Linked DNA regions of Saccharomyces cerevisiae S288C. Changing the gene in region 4 together with the main gene of any one other region gives a genetic interaction. Each region holds a gene or a part of one and is shown on either strand. Other genes may lie near its edges. The genes, in order: ELP6, VPS71, CTF19 and GIM3.

Region 1 (4,858 bases), on a different chromosome or scaffold from region 4:
GAATTTTTAATTTTGCCACTCTATAATAGGGTATGTTCTTTATAGGTCATTTTTACTTTTTTAGTAGGGCATTTTAATAAATACTAGGTTTTTAGTAATTTCGGAGATACTTATCCTAGGTCTGAAAATTCAACCCTAACCCTTTTTTTCTTATGTTTTTTTTTTTCTGGGTAGCAGCTAATAGAAATTAGTACTGATTACATAGAGAAGTACTATGACACAATAGTAAGGGAATCATCTATTCATATATCACATCTTTGAGTTGCCGTTAAGCATGAAGGAAACGGCGCAGGAATACAAGGTGTCTGCTGTAATACCGACCCTTTTGAAAAACTGGATACTGCGTGTAGTGTATGCCACATTGGACCATATACCTCCTTTTGTGTGGGAAATTCTACATGTCATCACCGATATTTATTTCTTCTGGGTTCAAAAGCTGATTAACTATGTGCGGCCACACTCAAGAGTCATTTATTATAACGCTATTAAGAAGTTAGATGAGTGTGATACGTATCAAATGTGGTGTCAGCAAGCGTCCGTAGTGGATGAAATAACAGGCGCAAATTTATGGCGGCGGAATTTCTTTTCGAGGAGGTACGACTTCAATTCTGTCATTGAACAATATAGCATATTGGAAAATATGTTAAGGGAGGAGAAGTATGATGTAGTTAAGGAGAAGTTTTCGACTACAGGCCCTTGTATGTTGAGGAACTTTGCGGGTATTGGAGATAAAAAGTTGTTCACAAAATCTTTGATGGGTACAAAGCTACTTATTGAACAATATTTGACCCGAATTCTAGAAGGCTTGGATATATTAAATAATCAAACTTTAACTCCAACATCCTTTTTCCAAAGATGTAAGTTGTCACTGGGCACAACAGCATTAATCTTGCAAGGTGGTTCATTGTTTGGGCTGTTTCACCTTGGGGTGATTAGAGGTTTATTGTTACAGGACCTGATGCCTAATATTATAAGTGGTAGCTCTATGGGGGCATGCGTTGCAAGTTTATTCGGTTGCTTGTCCAATGAGCAACTAAAGCAATTATTGACCGATGACAACCTCTTGAATATCATCAAGAATGATGTAGATTTATTAAAAAGCTGTGGATACGGTAATTTAGAGCAGCACCTAAACCTGGGGACTTTGATTCAGAACCTAATACACCACGGTTATTCTCAAGACGTTTATCTTTTTATCCGGTTTGTTATGAAATATATTGTTAAGGAAAAAACTTTTGAAGAAGTTTATCAAATTACTGGAAAAGTTTTCAATATTGTTATTCATCCAACTGATAAATCATGCCCTAATTTACTAAATTATGTGACAACCCCAAACGTATTAATCAAGTCAGCCATTGAATGCTCACTTGGTTCTGGTGTAATTTCAGAGGATACATCACTATTATGTAAAAATTTAGAAAATGAAATTGAGCCTTTTCTTAACATCAATAAAAATAAACAAGTCAAATTTCTTACCCCAGAAAATGCCAACAATCCGAGCATAACGGAGAGCCCCTATACTAGGTTAACGGAACTATTCAATGTTAATAACTTCATTGTTTCTTTGGCGAGACCATACTTGGCACCATTGGTGGTAAATGATTTGAAGCATGAAATAAAAACGTCAAAATATTACTATTATAAGCATTATCCAAATATGCCTCCTATAAACGCGAATACAGTAAGAAAAACACAGAGATCCTCTTCGCAATCACCCATAAAGGCAGGAACTGTCGAGGATCTTGAGCCAGAGCCTTTAATGAGCCCTGTGCCCCCAAGTTCGGCAGTCAACGATTCAGCAGAGTACATAATCCCAGAATTGGGCATACCGCAGTTGAACTTTACTGAAATGGAACCGCTGGCGTTTAAATTTAAGTATCATCTGGAAAGAAAATTAAAAAATATTGCCACTATGGAATTTCGACATAGGATGGAGGTATTGGATAATTTAGGCCTGTTGTGCTCATTAATAAAAAGACTAATAATTGATGAAAAGACTCCCAGATCAGCTACGGAGATTGCTGTGGTACCAAGGATGAAAAGTCTATCATTAACAAGGATTATTGAAGGTCAACTAAACAACATTCCATACTGGATAAAATCTGGTGAACGAAGTACATGGCCCGCACTAGCTTTAATTAAGACAAGATGTGCAGTCGAATTTAAATTAGACGACATAATAAGAGCAAGACGGAGTAGGTAGTATCGTTTCCACTTTTTTCTGTCTTATTTTTTTTATTGATAGAGCTCGATTGCATATATTTTTCATTGATATTGTACTTAAAAATATATTCAGTTCATAGAAAAAACAATAATACGAGAATCAATGTGCCTCGTATATAATCTTATCATTATTTAGCGATAAAATAGTTTTGTTGACTCCTTCTCATTCAGATATAGGTATTCATTTTCAACGACGTGTAGGCTTGTGTTTGAAGTTGCAATGGGTGCGCCGCCCCTGCAAACGTGCAATGAGCCGGTTACGTCCTTTGCAAAACCGGTCTTCAGAGGATTCAAGTTCAAATTAATCATTGATTTGATAAAGGAAGATTTGTAGAAATTTTGCAGATTCGAGGAATGAACAGAAGCATCGTATTCATCTATATTAAATATGTCCGAATTGGAAACAATGATTAGCACTTTGCATTGCCTCAAAAGAGGTGTGATGAACTTATTGTTTAATTCTGAACAAGTTAGGCCGCTTACTAGCGACAACAGTAATTCTGGTTGTTCGATGATAACAATGGTGTCAGTTGGGTTATTTTGTATAGCAGCGGAGAACTTTGCGAGTACGTCACTTAGTATTTTGTCTCTTGGCTTATTATGGATATTATTAACGATGAAGTCGGACAGGAAGTCTAAAACATTGTAGTTATTAGATGGGATCTTTAGCTTGTTTAATGAATTTGTAAAATAGTTCTGTTCGTGGATAAACGACGCAAGGACTGCATGGGAGCGAGTTGACGAAGGTAGCATCGATGAAGAAGATTCATTAAGGGAACTTGGGGAACCTAACACGTGCGTTTCTACTAGTGCGTTTATCATCCATAGTGGTTGAGTACAGGATTGATGGGTGATGAAGAATAAGTTATGAGAGTTGCTGTCTTGGAAAAAGTGGGCAGGAAGCACTGATTGGTCGCTGAATAGGACCAAATCTTGTCGTTGAACACTACCCATAAATGTGTATTTAGTTATTTTTGTGGAGGTTCTGGACGGTTTTTGCCTAACTTCTACTAGCCTCAATTTAGTACTTTTATTTTTTTTTCATTTTTCATTCTGCTCATCGCCTATCAATTCATGCCTAAGAGATGCAAAGATAGCGTACTATAGATGTGAAAAGTTGGATAAACAAAGCCCATGATATAAGCCACGGCTTCAGCCTTAAAATTGGGGTTAAAGGCTAAGAACGAATTGCAAATTCTTTTGCTTCAGCAGGAATTTTCCAACAGCAAAGTATAAAAAATCTATCTAAGCCGCTTTTAAATTAAGGAGCGTATATAAAATTATATAATCACACTCGAAGGACCAATCTGTGCTCTACATACCTTACGCGCTCTAATAATATGATCTATGCTTCATCAGTCTTGTTTATTCTTAAAGTATTTTTTTTTATGTTTGGTTCTTGTTATTGAACAAAAAAATGAATTAACCCGAACACTACCAAATCAATAGCAGAAGAAAAGAAGAAAATGATAAAATAAAGGTGAGAACCATTTTAAAGCATTATTCATTATGAAATCCTCCTATCTAGTATAACTTGATTCGACACCTTGCTAATATTTCTCTGAAGCACTGTCTTTAGAGGCAAAACGGTACTATCGCATATTCTTACCCGGTTTCAAGTTTTGCCCTCACGCTTTTTTAGGGAGAAATGACTTCCACCGAAAGGATAATTTGAGAACACCACTACAACTTAAAGTCCAAGAGCTTCATCAGTACAACGAGTTCGTATCATCAAGAACGCACATCAGCAGAATAATGGGAGGTATACTTAAAAACCCGCTAGCCTTATCGCCGGAGCAGCTGGCGCAACAGGATCCAGAAACGCTTGAAGAGTTTAGAAGACAAGTTTACGAAAATACGCAGAAAAATGCCAAATTGACATCACATAAAAGGAATATACCGGGACTAGATAATACAAAAGAGGAGGGGGAGATAATTGGAACATCGAGTACCTTCCTTCCAAAGGACACACTGTCACTGAAACATGAGCAAGACATGTTGGCCAAGATGACACCAGAAGAGCGAGTTCAATGGAACCAAAGAAATTTAGCAGAAAATGAAATAACAAAAAAGCAGTTCCAAGATATTCACATAGACGAGCCCAAGACCCCCTACCAAGGTGCTGTGGACCCTCACGGGGAATACTACAGAGTAGATGATGATGAAGATGAGGATAATAGTGATAAAAAACCATGCCAGGTGGCAAACGATGACATCGACGATTTGTCCCTGGGCGAACCGGAATTTGAAATCAAAGAGAACAAACAACCGGATTTTGAGACCAACGACGAGAATGATGAAGACTCACCGGAGGCTAGACATAAGAAATTTGAAGAAATGAGAAAGAAGCATTACGACGTAAGGGCAATTTTCAACAAAAAGTCCCGTGAAGCGCTAAAGGACGAAGACGAAGACGAAGATGATAGTACGACAAAAGAACCATGAAACATGACACCTCCATAACGTTTACCTATACTAAATATATCTTATTTTTTGGATTCTTGGTACATAAATATGCACTGTTTGTTATCACGCGAAACGAACTGATTTTTTAACAAGCTTTATTTTATACATGAAAAATTTCCCATCGATGAGCTGTGATCGGCAAGTGAGAGTACTCTGTTTCACAACTACT
Region 2 (5,137 bases), on a different chromosome or scaffold from region 4:
GAATCTTCAGTATGAGTTGACGGAGGTGTGGAATCGGTTGGACTCACAGCTTTTGAAAGGACATTTCTCGGTTGCTCAGGATGTAGTTCGATGTCAGATTGGAAGTCATGGTCAGATTCTATGTTAAGATCATCGGATTGTTGGATCTCATTTGACGCAATGAACGATTGATATGAAGCAGTTAAACGGTTTAAGTCTTCATCGAAAGTGAGTGCGTCGTAATTGAATTGATCTAATCTGGATTCCTTGCCCTGAAGAATAACATAGTTAGTTGTATCTACTGTCTTCTTTAAGGATGGAAGATAGATGATATATCCATAAGAGTTTCGAGACGGATGTAGAGCGTAGCCTGGGATGCCACGAGGATGTATTTTGGAGTTAGGGTTGTGATCATTGACGATAACAGGTTGACCGAAAGGTAACAAAGTACTGATATCAAGTCCTGCCAAGCCAGCATGTTGTCTTGCAGATTTTTTGCTTTTAGGTGAAGCTAGTGAATTTCTCACAATAGTAGAAAATTCGATTGCAGAGAACCATAAATGGTTCGGTAAACCACTACATTGCAGTTGAGTACGGCAGTCATCTAATAAGGTACGGTTGAGCCGTTCAGCGACTCCATGTGCTCGGGAATCCGCTGTGGTTGTATAGCATGGAGTTATACCATTTTTTTCAAGGAATTTATGGAGAGTTCTGTTAGTATACTCAGAACCACGGTCCATTTGTATAACCAAGACACTGGCCTGAAACTGGTTCTTAATAAAAGCTAGTATCGTAGTAAAAACATCGAGGATAGAGTCCTCGCGACGGTCGTGTAATGGATAAACCCAACGGAATTTTGTTGTCTCATCAGTAAATGAGATGAAATAGGATGGTGCACTTTTTGGTAGGTTGTGAACTGGACCAAATATGTCAGTATGTAGGTATTGAAAGGGTTCGTATGAATTTTGGTATTTTAGTCGTGAACCTTTGATATGTCTGTGTTTGGTGCTTTTGCCGATTAAACAATCAGGACATTGATAGTCAATAGCACTAGACCTGTCGACATCTGATTCGTTAAAATACGTGATGGTGTTATTTTTAAGTGAGTATCGAATTGTCTGTGCATTGGCATGTGCAAGCATTCGATGAATGAAAGGATAAGGATATTTGCGTGTACTTTCACTTGTATGGACATTATTGATGGTGGGTACGGAGATATTTGATGGAAGCAAGTACTTTTTAGATACCCAGTAAAAGTCTCCATATTTTACGATAGGTGCAAGTACAGTGCCGTCAGATCGTTCTAAGACGTTTTTGGTAAAGCATGCTGTGATATCTACTGCAGCCAATTCATTCAAACTGAGTAAGTCATAGGCTATGTTAGGAGTGTGCAATACCTTTATTGATGTTTTGGTGTTGTCCTGGAAGTGAAATTGTAGGTCACCAATAGCGTTAATTGGTATATTTCTTTTTTGAGCATCAACTACGTTTATGTCAGGATTAGATGATGCTGAGTGTATGTGATGAGCAGATCTTATAAGGGTTCGTGATGCTCCTGAATCGAGAAGGAGGTGTCCAGGGAGTTCATCATCAGAATGATTAGTGTGATTTACCGTAGATTCAGTAAGTTCCTGGCCTAAGGTGAAGGTCGTGCTTATTGTTCAATTGAATCGGTTCAGTAGTTGATTTACTGATGGAATCGTTGTCCGTGCTGGGAGAGTTATTAGATGTGGATACATTGTGAGCCCTGGCTGTTTTCGATTTCGAATTATTTGTTTTTTGAGGATTCCGAGCTATAACTTTGGGTTTGGTTGTATTCGTATAGCTGCGAGAATCATTCTTCTCATCACTCAGATTTCTCCTGTAATTAGGTTTGCTGTTTCTCGATCCCTGTTGTTCTTCATAAATAGCATGGATATCTAAGAACAGTTCAGCGACTGTCATATTTAGATGTCGATGACGTGTGTAGCGTAAAAATTTATATTCGCCAGATAGACCTCTCATAATTAATTGGCATGCGACCTTGTTATTGATATGAATGCCATTATTGTTCAGTCTGTCGATAATGTTTGTGACTTTTGTTTCAAATGCATCTGCAGGTGTACTGCCATTATATTGCAAATTTGCCAGGGTCACAATGTCGTTTGCCTCTTGGGTATCAGATTGCATTTTTTCAATACTTTTGGAAAGAATTTTCATGATATCCGTATAATCAACGGATAGGATGTCTTTGACCCAGGTAGGTAGGAATTGAGAGGGAGCAAATATTTGAAAAGTGTTATACAAGAAGGTGAGTTCATCATCAGTGATCTGACGTACGGGTTTTCCGTTTACTGTCGGAATAATACCACCGAGATTCGAGTTTTGTAAAAATTTGATGTATGTTTTAACCCAATTTGGAAAGTCATTAGGTGAGGTTAACATTGGTGGTGGTCTGACATATTTTTTAGTGGATGTCATATCAGAGTCCGCTGAGGATGAATCAGTAAATGTATTACCTGACTCAGGTGATGGAGTGCTCAGAGGCGTTCCAACTGATGATGGATACTGCGGAAACTGTGATTGTGGCCCAGGTGGAAAGTACATAGGCGACATTTGATAAGGTGTATACGGAATCATAGATGGGTGTCCGTAAAATGACCAACCAGATGGATTGGCTTGGTTTTGGGTCATCATGCACTGCTGTGGGTACGGCCCATTCTGTGGAGGTGGTACTGAAGCAGGTTGAGGAGAGGCATGATGGGGGTTCTCTGGAACAGCTGATGAAGCAGGTGTTGTTGTCTGTTGAGAGTTAGCCTTAGTGGAAGCCTTCTCACATTCTTCTGTTTTGGAAGCTGAAACGTCTAACGGATCTTGATTTGTGTGGACTTCCTTAGAAGTAACCGAAGCACAGGCGCTACCATGAGAAATATGTGAATGTTGAGATAATTGTTGGGATTCCATTGTTGATAAAGGCTATAATATTAGGTATACAGAATATACTAGAAGTTCTCCTCGAGGATATAGGAATCCTCAAAATGGAATCTATATTTCTACATACTAATATTACGATTATTCCTCATTCCGTTTTATATGTTTATATTCATTGATCCTATTACATTATCAATCCTTGCGTTTCAGCTTCCACTAATTTAGATGACTATTTCTCATCATTTGCGTCATCTTCTAACACCGTATATGATAATATACTAGTAATGTAAATACTAGTTAGTAGATGATAGTTGATTTCTATTCCAACAACTAGTAACACGAATACTACTAAACAAATGATATTTTAGAGTTCCATTTCAACATTATGCACTCAATATTCATTATTGTTGTTAAGGGCTTAATATTGTAGTTGTCAGAAAACTTTTACTATTCGGTGATTCCTTAGTGGCTAAGATTCACAAGTTCACAAGGGCGTGTGGTCTAGTGGTATGATTCTCGCTTTGGGCGACTTCCTGATTAAACAGGAAGACAAAGCATGCGAGAGGCCCTGGGTTCAATTCCCAGCTCGCCCCTTTTTTTGATATTTTTTTTGGAGTATTACAAAAACGACCATTCATTAAGGAAGTGAAGTCGGTGGAATAGCTAGAGAGCTTATATTTATTTAGTCGTTGCTTTATGTAACGAAGCAATCAATAAAATATTTGTGTTCTGTAGAAATAACTTTGATCCGGGTAATAGATAATTAATAACTACTTTTTTTATAATGAACATGATGATCTTTGTGAGTATTAACAAAAGTCGAAGCGGCCCTTTCAATCTATAGTAACGTCGATATCATTGATAGATCGAAGAAAAAGAACGGATCGCTTACTCATAACAGCGAAATGAAGGCGCTAGTTGAAGAGATTGATAAGAAAACTTACAATCCTGACATATATTTCACGTCATTGGATCCTCAAGCACGTCGATATACTTCAAAGAAGATTAATAAGCAAGGCACAATATCCACCTCTAGGCCCGTAAAGCGCATAAACTACTCACTGGCAGATTTAGAGGCCAGGTTATATACTTCGAGATCTGAGGGAGATGGCAATAGTATAAGCAGACAGGATGACCGAAATAGTAAGAATTCCCATTCATTTGAAGAAAGGTACACACAACAAGAGATTCTCCAGTCGGACAGGAGGTTTATGGAACTTAACACAGAAAATTTCTCGGATTTACCAAATGTACCGACTTTATTAAGTGATCTCACAGGCGTACCACGAGATAGAATTGAATCAACAACCAAACCGATCTCACAGACCTCGGATGGTCTCTCTGCATTAATGGGTGGTTCTTCTTTTGTAAAAGAGCATTCCAAGTATGGTCATGGTTGGGTGCTTAAACCAGAAACCTTACGGGAAATACAATTATCGTATAAATCTACAAAACTACCTAAACCAAAGAGGAAGAATACCAATCGTATTGTGGCGTTAAAGAAGGTTTTAAGTTCAAAAAGAAATTTACATTCGTTTTTAGATTCTGCGCTGCTAAACTTGATGGATAAGAATGTCATTTACCACAATGTTTACAATAAACGATACTTCAAAGTGTTACCCCTAATTACGACATGCTCTATTTGCGGTGGCTACGATAGTATTTCAAGTTGCGTTAATTGTGGAAATAAGATTTGTTCTGTAAGTTGTTTTAAATTGCATAATGAAACTAGGTGCAGAAATAGATAGTAATGATCAGTATGTATTCGTAAGCCCTTTTTTCTCCCCTATTTATACGTATGTAAGTGTAGATACTTAACAAAAATATTCACAAATTAATTGAAGAGGAAAGGTGAAAAATTCATAACTTTGCTTTTCGTTTATTCTCATTTTCCAAGGCGTCAAAAATTTCATCAGCAGCTTGAGATAAATAATAGTGTAATCTGTTAACACTGGCTCCACTCTTGGCTGGTTTGTTGACAATATTGATATGCAGCCACTCGTTATTCAACATGTATGCCAGTCCAAACCCGTTGTCATTTACTTGAGACCAACCATAACCGTCAAAATATTCCGAAGATAGTTGAGATGTGGAGATCAACCAAGTTGAAGAATAATTAAATAAGGGATCTTTGAAAAGGGGCGGAATTTGGTCATCATTAGATTTTAGCATATTCTTTAGACCGAAGAAATGACGATCGACACCATTACCATTTGCAGCATTTTTCAGGTACGTAGAATGCTCTTTT
Region 3 (5,346 bases), on a different chromosome or scaffold from region 4:
GCAAGAATTTTCAAGAAAGCTGCATTCGTTTTGAATTTCTTCCCTTTTTTGACTGCAGATTTCTTGGGCAATGCAGTACCTTCTTCATCTGATGATTCGTGATCTTCTAAATCTGCAATAACGTGGCGAGTATTCTGATCTTTTTGCCCTTGTCTTTCAGTGGTCTTTCCATCTGGTACAGAGATTTTGGATAACCTTCTCATATTATCAAGTTTATCATGAATGCTCTTTTGTTTTTGTAAAGTTTTCTTCTCTTCTTCGTAAGCCTCCTGAGGGTTCTTTCTGATGTCGGTTTCTAAATCGGGCAACCAGAATGGCAAAATGTTGACATATTTATCGTCTTCACCAAACAGTGAAGCCACACCTTGCAAGTACAAAGAAAATTTTGGAACTTCGTTAACTAAATGTGAATTAGTTAAATCTTTAATCCACTCATAATTAGGCATTTGAGAATTATCTTGGTTTATAACCTTAATCTCCATTACAGAATAGGGGAACTTCGAATATTCTCCTGCTCTTAAAAACCTCAATGGGTTGGGAATATTGGAATCAATATCGTCACGGTGCCAATTCTCAGGGTTCCTAATGGGCCTATTTTTGTCCAAAGAATCCTCTCTAATGTACATGATATTGGAATCGATAGTGACTCTAATACTTTGATCTCCAGGAATTTGGAAAGCAGTTCTATTATAGGTAGCTCTCAAAACTGGCTGCAACTTCTCCTCAACAATAAAGTTTTGGATGTTATCAAAGTCTCTAGAAAGTTTTTCCAGTTCCTCCTTTTGAGTACCCCTTTCTCTTAGTTGATTAATTAAATAGTTTTTGTAACTGGGATCATTTTTAAAAATAAAATTGTTGATGAATTTGGCTTTCATTTGCAATCTGATTTCTTCAAAACTTGAATTACCAGTTTCGGTATTTTCTGTAAAAGTTCTCTTTTCCAAAAATATGTCAGGTTTGTCTAGCAGTTTACCGATCCATCTTAATCTCAGCGTAGGTGCACCGCTGATTTTCAACAATCTGTTATTGTACAAATCAAAAAAATCGTTGTCGAAATATAATGTAGTGATTGTTGGATCATATGACTGTGGGAAAATAACGCTCTTTGATTTTCCAATTTCAACATCTTGGTTGCTATTACCATCACTAGAAAGGCTGTTACTCTTTGAACCAATATTCAAGCGCGCTTCAGGTTGTACGCGGACATCTGATTCTAGATTATCGACGAAATCGTCATTTTCATTTGGAACCGACGCATAAACCAAAGCAGGTAGATGCCTTAAGATTCTAGCCTTAACCTCCATTATATTATCATCATGAACCCAAAACTTGTAGCTTTTAAAACTTGCGTCTTCAAGGTTAGAAAAATGTGATAATTTAGAAGTACTTGCTAATGATTTAGACACCGTATTTGGATGATCATAATTTGATCTCAAGAACTCGTACAGATATGAGATCCTATACAACAAGGGAGAATACTCTTCTGAATTGTTGAAAGGAAGTTCTTTCAATCTGACTTGTAAAAGAGACTTTACAGAAGGATAGTTTGGATGTAATTTATCGTGTTTCTTCACAATCTTGATAAACCCAGTAAAATTTAACCTGTCAAAGTTATCCAATCTTTGAGCCTCATCTAGACATTCTTCTAAGGTGTTTTTGAACTGCTCAGAATTTATTTTTTGGATTTTTTCAGCTGATTTAGTGTTTTCCTCTAAATCATCTAATTTTCGCAAGACAGCATTATATTTGGAAATTTGAAATGTGTAAACCTTTTCTAGTTCTTTATCCAAGGCCTCCACAAAATCAGATTCATTCCTTTCGGACCAACTATCCACGGAACTACGGCCATCATGTATGACGCTTTCCTTTAGTAATTTCTTCAACCTTTCATAGTCGATATATGAATCCTTCCAGGGAGGATATACGTCGTTAGCCAGTTTAATACCAAATAGCATTTTCAAACTCTGAAAACCAAGGACAAATTCTGCTGTTCGCTCTAATAGCCAAATGACCTATAGTGATAATAAAAAAAGCGCTAAGGAGGTACTACTTGGATTAGATCACTCTTATGCGTATTATTACCCGCCAATGGGCCCTCTCGATATTGAGAAGATGAAGTAAGTTCGAGAAAAGATGTCTGATGTAAGCCGCTCTCTGGCCTCTATTTAAAAGTTCTTCCTGGATGAAACCCACTCGAAAGTTGGGTGTGTGCGTGTGTGTATGTTTCCACGTTTCTGCCTTGTGCTTTCAAAATCGCATGCACGTGCTTGCGACTGCACTGTGTTGTATTAAGCCACGTGGGCCCTCGCACATTGAAAAAAAGAAAAGCTGTACAGGGAAAAATGTGCCAAGAAGTCCAAATACCAATAGCTGTGCAAGTTACTCATTAACATCCAAACCGTGAAGGTCACGGCATATATACTCTGGCGTTCTACTATGTGGCCGGTAATGTAACCGGTAATGGTGACTATCTAATAGTTGGAGTCCGCCGAAAAATCAGAAACGCGTAATTTAGACTTATATAAACAGCTATATACCTTGGAGCTAGTGTGATCTTGTTGATACTAGGTCGGCAAAGAACGCAAATATGGATTTTACGTCTGATACGACGAATTCGCACGACACATCGAATTCGCATTTAAGTCTGGAAGACGCTGTGGGTACACATCATGCTGGTGAAGCAGATGTAAACATTGATGGGGACGAGAAGCAACAACTATCGCTATTAGATGATGATCAGGTACGCGCACTGAAGCTACAGGAGGAGAAGGATGCGCTGTTGACAAGGAGAAATACTCTTTTACAAGAGATCCAGACGTACCAAAATATCTTGATGAAGGAAAATAACAGTAAGACTAAAAATGGTGATATCCTCCAAAACGATATCACACAGGATTTTCTTAATCTAATCTCGATCTCATCCTCTAATCCTAATTCGGCGATAAGTGACCGCAAGCGGGTCGAGAGGATCAATGGGCTAACTAACTTGCAGAAGGAACTAGTAACAAAATACGACACGTTACCTTTGTTAAATATGAATCTACGGCTAAGTTATTTGAGAGACCACACATACCCGCATCTTCAAGTTTCTGTGCAATCAAGAGACAGAGTACATAACGATGGGATTGAAGTTTTGGTGGTCAATTATAAATTCTGCAGAAACACGATGAATCCTTTTGAAATTCAGTTCAAAATGTTCTATAAATTTGAAGATTCCACACTGCTGAAGTGGGAAATCTTGCGAATTTCCACAAACGTTAGACTGAAGGCCAAGCAATTACTGGCAACACGTAACTTCCAGAAGTGTCTATTAAGCCTTTATGAGTTTGATAAGATCAAGTCCAAAAAAACTGGAATTTTCCAAAATTTGATTAATTTATTGAAAAGGAAAACCAGGTGTTATCTAATGAATAATAGTGACTCATTAATTGTGGAAAGAGTTATTAGAGAAGGAAGACTCACGACGATAAAATTGCAGATAAATTTCATCATTACAATGCCCGGTGAGAGAGGCAAACCTCGTAACTGTTTTCTGCCCATGAGTAAAATTTCAATAGCGCTATGGAAGGGGGGAGAAAGATTTAACCAGATAGATTTGGACGAGATATGCTACGGACTTATCAAGGAATATGGTGTGAAAACCGGGTTAAAGGAGATCTGCAACGTTTGCCTATTCCCGGACATGTACGCCAGGTGATGTTCCATTTGCCATTGCCAACTGGACGGCTTGCTTAAACGATTCCGATAAGCTCGGATGAGGGAACGGTACTTTACAGACATCATGGGCGGTAAGGCCAAGCGACACCGCCATCGATGCTTGCGACAGCAATTCATTTGCATCGTCGTTTATCATATGAACGCCTAGTATTTTCATGTCACGAGAATCTATCAGAACTTTAATGAAAGGAGAAACTGTAGTATTCTCTTCCCGTGGTAATAACGTGTTATATCTAACGTTCTGTGAGAACAAAACCCTGCCTTTTTGATATGGGATGCGAGCCTTTGCCAACCCCTCCTCAGTGTATCCGACCCAGCCAATCTGAGGCTGACAGTACAGCACATTTGGTGGGAAGCCACAATTCGAGGTTCCGTCGGAGCCTGTACAGCCTATTGATTGAATGGCCCTTATAGCTTGTTCTTCCGCTTTCAGCGCCAGCATGGGGCCCAATGTAACGTCTCCTATGGGTTTAATATGAGGGTACTTTAGCAGACTTTGGGTTTGTACGTCAACATTTTCTACAAAATCCCGTTCGTCTAGACCAATGCTGGAAATATCTAAACCTTTTAGCAGGGGACGTCTACCAATAGAAACCATCAAGACGTCGCAATGATGTACATATGTTTTCTTTGACACCTTGTTAAGCAAGGTGATGTTCAGCTGACCGGCAGCATCGGCTTCCGCGAGCTGCACTCTAGTGTCTAAAAGAAAAGCTATACCCTGACACTGCAAGAGGGTCTTCGTGGCAGAAGCCAACTCATTGTCCATATTTTGACAGATCTCGCTTTGAGATTCAACGATAGTAACCCGAGAGCCCAAATTATTGAATATGCATGCGATTTCTAGTCCAATTGTACCTCCTCCCATGATAGTAAAACGTGAAGGTATATAATCCAGTGACAATGCCTTATCAGATGAAATTATCTTGTCATTATCTATTGCAACACCAGGACACTGAATAACCGCAGATCCGGTCGCCACAACAATATATTTCGCCTCTACGATGAACGGTTTCATGCCGCGCTGCGCAATCTCAACGTGGTGAGGATCTTTGAAAGCAGCCGTGCCTTTATACACAGTAACATTATTTTTAGATAGCTCACGTTTATACACATTGCCCAACTCTTCTATATTATGTTTGAGTGCACTCTGGGCCGCCTGCATATCGAATTTTGCAGGAAACAGCCGCGTGCCACGTTGCTCGATAAGTTCTTGCTGTTGTAGCAGCCGATAAAGATAAGACTCATATAACAAGGTCTTGGACGGGACTGCCCCGTCTACAAGGTAGGCGCCCCCCAGCGAGGCACGCTGGTCAACACATGCTGTGAGCAGGCCTGCTTGCGAAGCCTGCATCGCTGCAGTAAAGCCACCAGGCCCGCAACCAATTACCAGGACATCGTAAACTGCCGCAAAATCCTCCATCGTGCTTAATATTTCGTCTTCACCTCCCATTACCAAAAATGCTCACCGTTAATTATATCATACTTCTCTTCTCCTCTCGTAAAATCGTGCGCATGTTAAATAGCCGCCGAAACAGCAGATGCATGCCTGCAGGTCTGGGTGTACCCCCTGCCTGAGTGTTCCACCCAGGCCTCGCCGGAGGAAAATGCCACCGCACTCAAGTTCGC
Region 4 (4,476 bases):
ATTGACCAATCTAACATTGCTACGGTTAGGCATTTGTGAGTTCATTGTGTTATTATTGACAGCTAAACCAGAGTTCGTTGCTGTCAAAGGACTTTGCACTTGAGACATTTTTGGAAAACTATTTTCTTGGCTTATATGCTGTGTTCAGTAGAAACAACAAGTTTTGTCTATCAAAATGGAGAAAAAAACTTTCTAATATGATCTGCACAGAAACACGAAACACAACCACGTTCTTAAATCTCGAAAGAGAAAAACAATATCAAACGAAAGAAGTAATTTCCGTAAAGAAACTCTTTTTTTCTGTCTGAAAAAAAAGGTACTTAGGAATATATGCGGATTACAAAGGTATACAAAAAAAACTCTATCTCATACACAATAACTTAAACTTGCTTTTTATTATCATGTTCTTTACTTTTCTTTAATTTCCCTCCTGAAAAAATTAAAAATTTTTCATTACTCATTTTGTGGAGACACCCACAGCCCACACTTTAATGAGTGTTCTAACGTTCAAGGTTGATATTATCACCAAATTTAGCATACAGGATCGCCTTCAGAGCATCAAGACGGGAATCAATGTCTCTTTGCTTGTCCTCTAAAGTCTCTATTTTGTTGTCGAGACGTTCTGCGTCTTTTTCGAGCTGTGCGGTAACTTTGCTCTGTTTCATGAAGATAAAGAGGTCGCCCACCTTGTATTGCACGGGCTCATCTTCGTCAATCAATTCAATTTCTAGAGACACATCATCGAGGTACTCCTTCTCCTCCCTCTGTAAACTCAATTCCTGCGCAATGGCGTCCTTACGCATAATCAACTTCGAAAACTCGTTGATCTTTTGCTGATCTTCGAACGTTACCTGAGTGTTGTTCCTTTGTCCCTGTGGTAACAGTTCCATAATGGTCCTCTGTTAGTTTCTTGGCGTTGTGTATTCTGGTAGTTTCCGCAGGACCAAACAGAGCATAAGTCCTCTAAGTACTTAGCTTCCTGTAAAATTGTATGAAAAGCCGCCTCTGCTGATCATGAATGACGGCCTAGCGTTCCTCATATGATTTAGATAAAAACATAGAAAGGTATGTTAATAGTACGAGAGAATTCGGAGACCTTAGGTTTCACAACTGGAATTGGGTTAACTCGTTGAGTCACTGTCGAATGTCCGAAGAAGTATGGAATGGAAACCAAGGAATCCTCTCCGTATATGTGAGCAAAGCTAGAGACTTGCCTAATTTGAATAAACTGGACAAGCAAAATGTAATGCTTAGGTTGCGAATAGCTCATATGACAAGAGCCAGCAACACTCTACATCGAGCAGGTCAAAACCCTGTTTTCCATTATTTAGAAAAATTTGATATTACTCCAGAGATAAAGCCTTTAATGTACGTCGAAGTTTACTGCGATAGAAGGAAAAAATCTCCGCTGCCAATTGGAAGATGTGAAATAGACCTTTTAAATGCTATTAGAGCAGACCCGAAGGAGGGTTATTGTACCTGGTACGAACTGAAAAGAAGTGGGGATGAATTTGCTGGCACTATATTCATTGAGTTGACTTTCACTCCCAAAGTACCTCGTTTAAACAGGGACGATCTTAACAAAGAAATGGACAGGTTGGATTCATCTATGGCTATGAGGCCGATACCACCATTGCCAACAGAATCAGAGTATGACTATGTTCATGGTTCTACGATGAGACAGATTACTCCCCAGTGTGTTAGCACAAGTCACGAGGATAAGGATGAGGGACAGCCCTACAGAAATGGCAATGTTTTCTCCATGTCATCTAAATCAGATACAGCGGTATTGGCAAATAGTAATGACCCAATAATTTTACCTCCAACTTTTTCAGCATCCATGGGTACAACGTCTACATTAGAAACTAATGATACTGCTATATCAAACACTTCGAATACAAAATTCCATTTTGCCAATTTAAGGAAATTAAAGGAGAAGATAAATATATTTAAGAATCCTGATAGTTCAACAAACAACTGCCAAAATGAATCTAACAAGGTAGATATTGAGGCACTTCAAAAGGCTATTGGTGTAACTTCGTTGTCTTACGACGAAGATGATGACGATGACGACGAAAATGACGCATTTTATTCTTCCAGCCATAGAGTCTCCCACAACTATAACCAACCGCCCTTACCTCCTATACCGACCAGAGATGATATGTCCAATTATTCAAGTTCGCGCAATACGCCGTTAGTAAGAAGAGATAGACCCTCACGCCTAGATTCCTCTTCGCCTAACTCACATCCTCATCCATCAGGCCTGAATTCTCCAAAACTACCACCTCTACCGACTACTTCGAATTCCAATTTTAATTCGAGGAAGAATTCGATGTCTCCTACAAGAAAAAGACCACCTCCAAGGCTCAGCTAATGACAAGAGAAACATGCTGTTATTGTAATACTAATATTTAAATAGAATTAAGATTTTTAATGTTTACCAAGATTTTTTCTTTTTTAAATTTTATTATTTCAATATGTATACATAAATCTGTTGCGCCCTCACCGCCGATCTAAACCATAAAGAAAAATGCTAATTGTACAAATTCTGCTTTGAAGAATATCCAAAAATATGGTAAAGCGGTATAAATTTTCAACTAAAAGGCGGCCTCTTCATTTGGATCCTCTTCATCACCGTAATCATCATCGTCACCATTGTTGAAATACTTTTCAGCATTATAATCATCATCATCTTCTTCGTCTTCATCTTCTTCGAAATCATCATCCGCCAAATCATCATCTTCTCCTTCGCCTGTTTTACTTCCTTTTGCTGCCCCATCACCCGTCGACGCATCATCCACATCTTCTGCCAACTCCTTTAACTTTGCCAGCATGGATAGTCCGATGTTTTCATCTTGTAAACCTGTACCAGTAAAAACATCATCGGCATTATTAAACTTGGAGATTGCCAATAATTTTTTCTTGTTGATCCCCATTACATTGTACAATTCATTGGGAAAGAGGTTCAAATTATACGGATGATCATCAATAGAAATACCTATTTTCCTTTTTTTCAAATATTTATCGGAATATCTTTCAATGCCATCATTAGTATCGTCTTCGTCTAGGATTATGTTGGGTTTGCGTTTACCGCTCTTGCTGTTTTCCTGTTGATCTATTATCAAGCTCATTGATCCGGTATAAAATGGGCCATCTTTAACAGTCTTTCCAAAATTGATGTACTTTACTGCTAAAGATCTTTCCTTATTTGTTATAGGACCATTGATGGGCAATGGGATGGATGGAAATTCCGTAATATGATTTTTGCCTACATCTCCATAACCTAATCCGAAGGGTAGATTGCTCATATAGTTGCTCCCGCCACCTCTACTGCCGCCCCTATAAGAACTCATGTTTGTTCGGGGTATATATGCTCGGTACTATCAAGTTACAATATCTTTCTGTCGTGTTGTTTTCTATAGGTTGCTGCGATGAGGAAACTATTTTCTTCTTTGAGATTTTTTCAAATTTCTCTTCATTTTTCATGCGGCCGCACAAGAGTTGAAACCACTGACGAAAGCAATTTCAGTTCATTGAGTTACACCTAGCGAGGCACTTCTTTGTGGAATGGTAGCCATTGTATTGAGATTTTTCTTGTCGACCATCAGCCTTTTTCTTCATAAGAGAAAAGAAGATCTCGTTCATGACTGCTAATTACTTTGAACGATCACCTCTGCAATGTGACATTTGTTCGAAAGCCGCCCATTAGTATTGAAAATAATTTATATTTTCAATTGGCTAGACTACGAAATTTGGACAAGCCATTGCTGCGTAATCCTTTCTCTTCTACGTCACAGTACATCTCTTTAAACCTTTTCGTTTCTCGGCTGTTTAAGGAAAGTATCGTCTTGCCGTATCTACATAAATCAATTCTTACCCATTTTCTTTTGCATTCTAGCCGTTAATTCACGGCTTAGTCGTTTGATATCGTGTTTGAATTGTGAATTGCATCATTCATGCGGAATGGGAATCATCGCAGTCGTTATCCGTCTCACAAACGTCGGCATTTGCTGACTATTAAGGCGACACGTAACCTACAAACTCAATTTGAGACGCAAACGCAAGTTGATTAGACGTTGAGAATGATGCAAGTAGCAACATCGGTAATGGTTAGACTATTTTATCAGAAAACTATAGAAAAACTAAAAACAAAACAATGTCACAATGACAAAGAGGAACCCATACATACACAGAGAGCCTATTCTTCCAGTAGTTCCTCAATATCAGCATCACTATCTGGGTCCAACCCTTGGTTTCTTCTCTTAGCCTCTTCCAAAGCGTTTTCAAACAACTCCTGTTGTCTTTTAACTCTTCTTCTAGTTTTCTTACCCCAACCGAAAGAAGTTGTTTCTGCTGTTGCAGCATCATCTGGCTTGTCGATCAGGTCTTTTGATCTCTTTTCCTCTTTGTCTCGTTTGTCCTTTTCCACTTGGGCAGCCAACTGCTTCTTCGCCAATTCCCTGGATGCGATATTTC

The links.
Region 1: mutations in GIM3 (region 4) and ELP6 together harm fitness more than expected from each alone (negative genetic interaction), as found in Saccharomyces cerevisiae (5 studies listed by BioGRID, with this or other methods).
Region 2: mutations in GIM3 (region 4) and VPS71 together harm fitness more than expected from each alone (negative genetic interaction), as found in Saccharomyces cerevisiae (8 studies listed by BioGRID, with this or other methods).
Region 3: mutations in GIM3 (region 4) and CTF19 together harm fitness more than expected from each alone (negative genetic interaction), as found in Saccharomyces cerevisiae (5 studies listed by BioGRID, with this or other methods).

Annotation. Positions count from the first base shown.
Region 1 is NC_001145.3:896,724-901,581, reverse strand, and holds ELP6 (Elongator subunit ELP6), read right to left. Parts: upstream 3,178-4,858; coding exon 2,356-3,177; downstream 1-2,355. Other genes in the region: TGL3 (bifunctional triglyceride lipase/lysophosphatidylethanolamine acyltransferase), read left to right, coding at 275-2,203; PP1-complex regulatory subunit GLC8, read left to right, coding at 3,979-4,668. UniProt on the Saccharomyces cerevisiae protein: Component of the elongator complex which is required for multiple tRNA modifications, including mcm5U (5-methoxycarbonylmethyl uridine), mcm5s2U (5-methoxycarbonylmethyl-2-thiouridine), and ncm5U (5-carbamoylmethyl uridine).
Region 2 is NC_001145.3:194,413-199,549, reverse strand, and holds VPS71 (Vps71p), read left to right. Parts: upstream 1-3,794; coding exon 3,795-4,637; downstream 4,638-5,137. Other genes in the region: YML040W (gag protein), read right to left, coding at 1,600-2,922; carnitine O-acetyltransferase CAT2, read right to left, coding at 4,750-5,137. UniProt on the Saccharomyces cerevisiae protein: Participates in the catalytic exchange of histone H2A for the H2A variant HZT1, an euchromatin-specific factor, leading to chromatin remodeling and changes in transcription of targeted genes. Indirectly involved in vacuolar protein sorting.
Region 3 is NC_001148.4:515,064-520,409, forward strand, and holds CTF19 (Ctf19p), read left to right. Parts: upstream 1-2,587; coding exon 2,588-3,697; downstream 3,698-5,346. Other genes in the region: VTC3 (vacuolar transporter chaperone), read right to left, coding at 1-1,955; IRC15 (Irc15p), read right to left, coding at 3,671-5,170. UniProt on the Saccharomyces cerevisiae protein: Component of the kinetochore, a multiprotein complex that assembles on centromeric DNA and attaches chromosomes to spindle microtubules, mediating chromosome segregation and sister chromatid segregation during meiosis and mitosis.
Region 4 is NC_001146.8:345,169-349,644, forward strand, and holds GIM3 (tubulin-binding prefolding complex subunit GIM3), read right to left. Parts: upstream 891-4,476; coding exon 501-890; downstream 1-500. Other genes in the region: serine/threonine protein kinase YCK2, read right to left, coding at 1-108; INN1 (Inn1p), read left to right, coding at 1,145-2,374; RPC31 (DNA-directed RNA polymerase III subunit C31), read right to left, coding at 2,598-3,353; PGA2 (Pga2p), read right to left, coding at 4,199-4,476. UniProt on the Saccharomyces cerevisiae protein: Binds specifically to cytosolic chaperonin (c-CPN) and transfers target proteins to it. Binds to nascent polypeptide chain and promotes folding in an environment in which there are many competing pathways for nonnative proteins.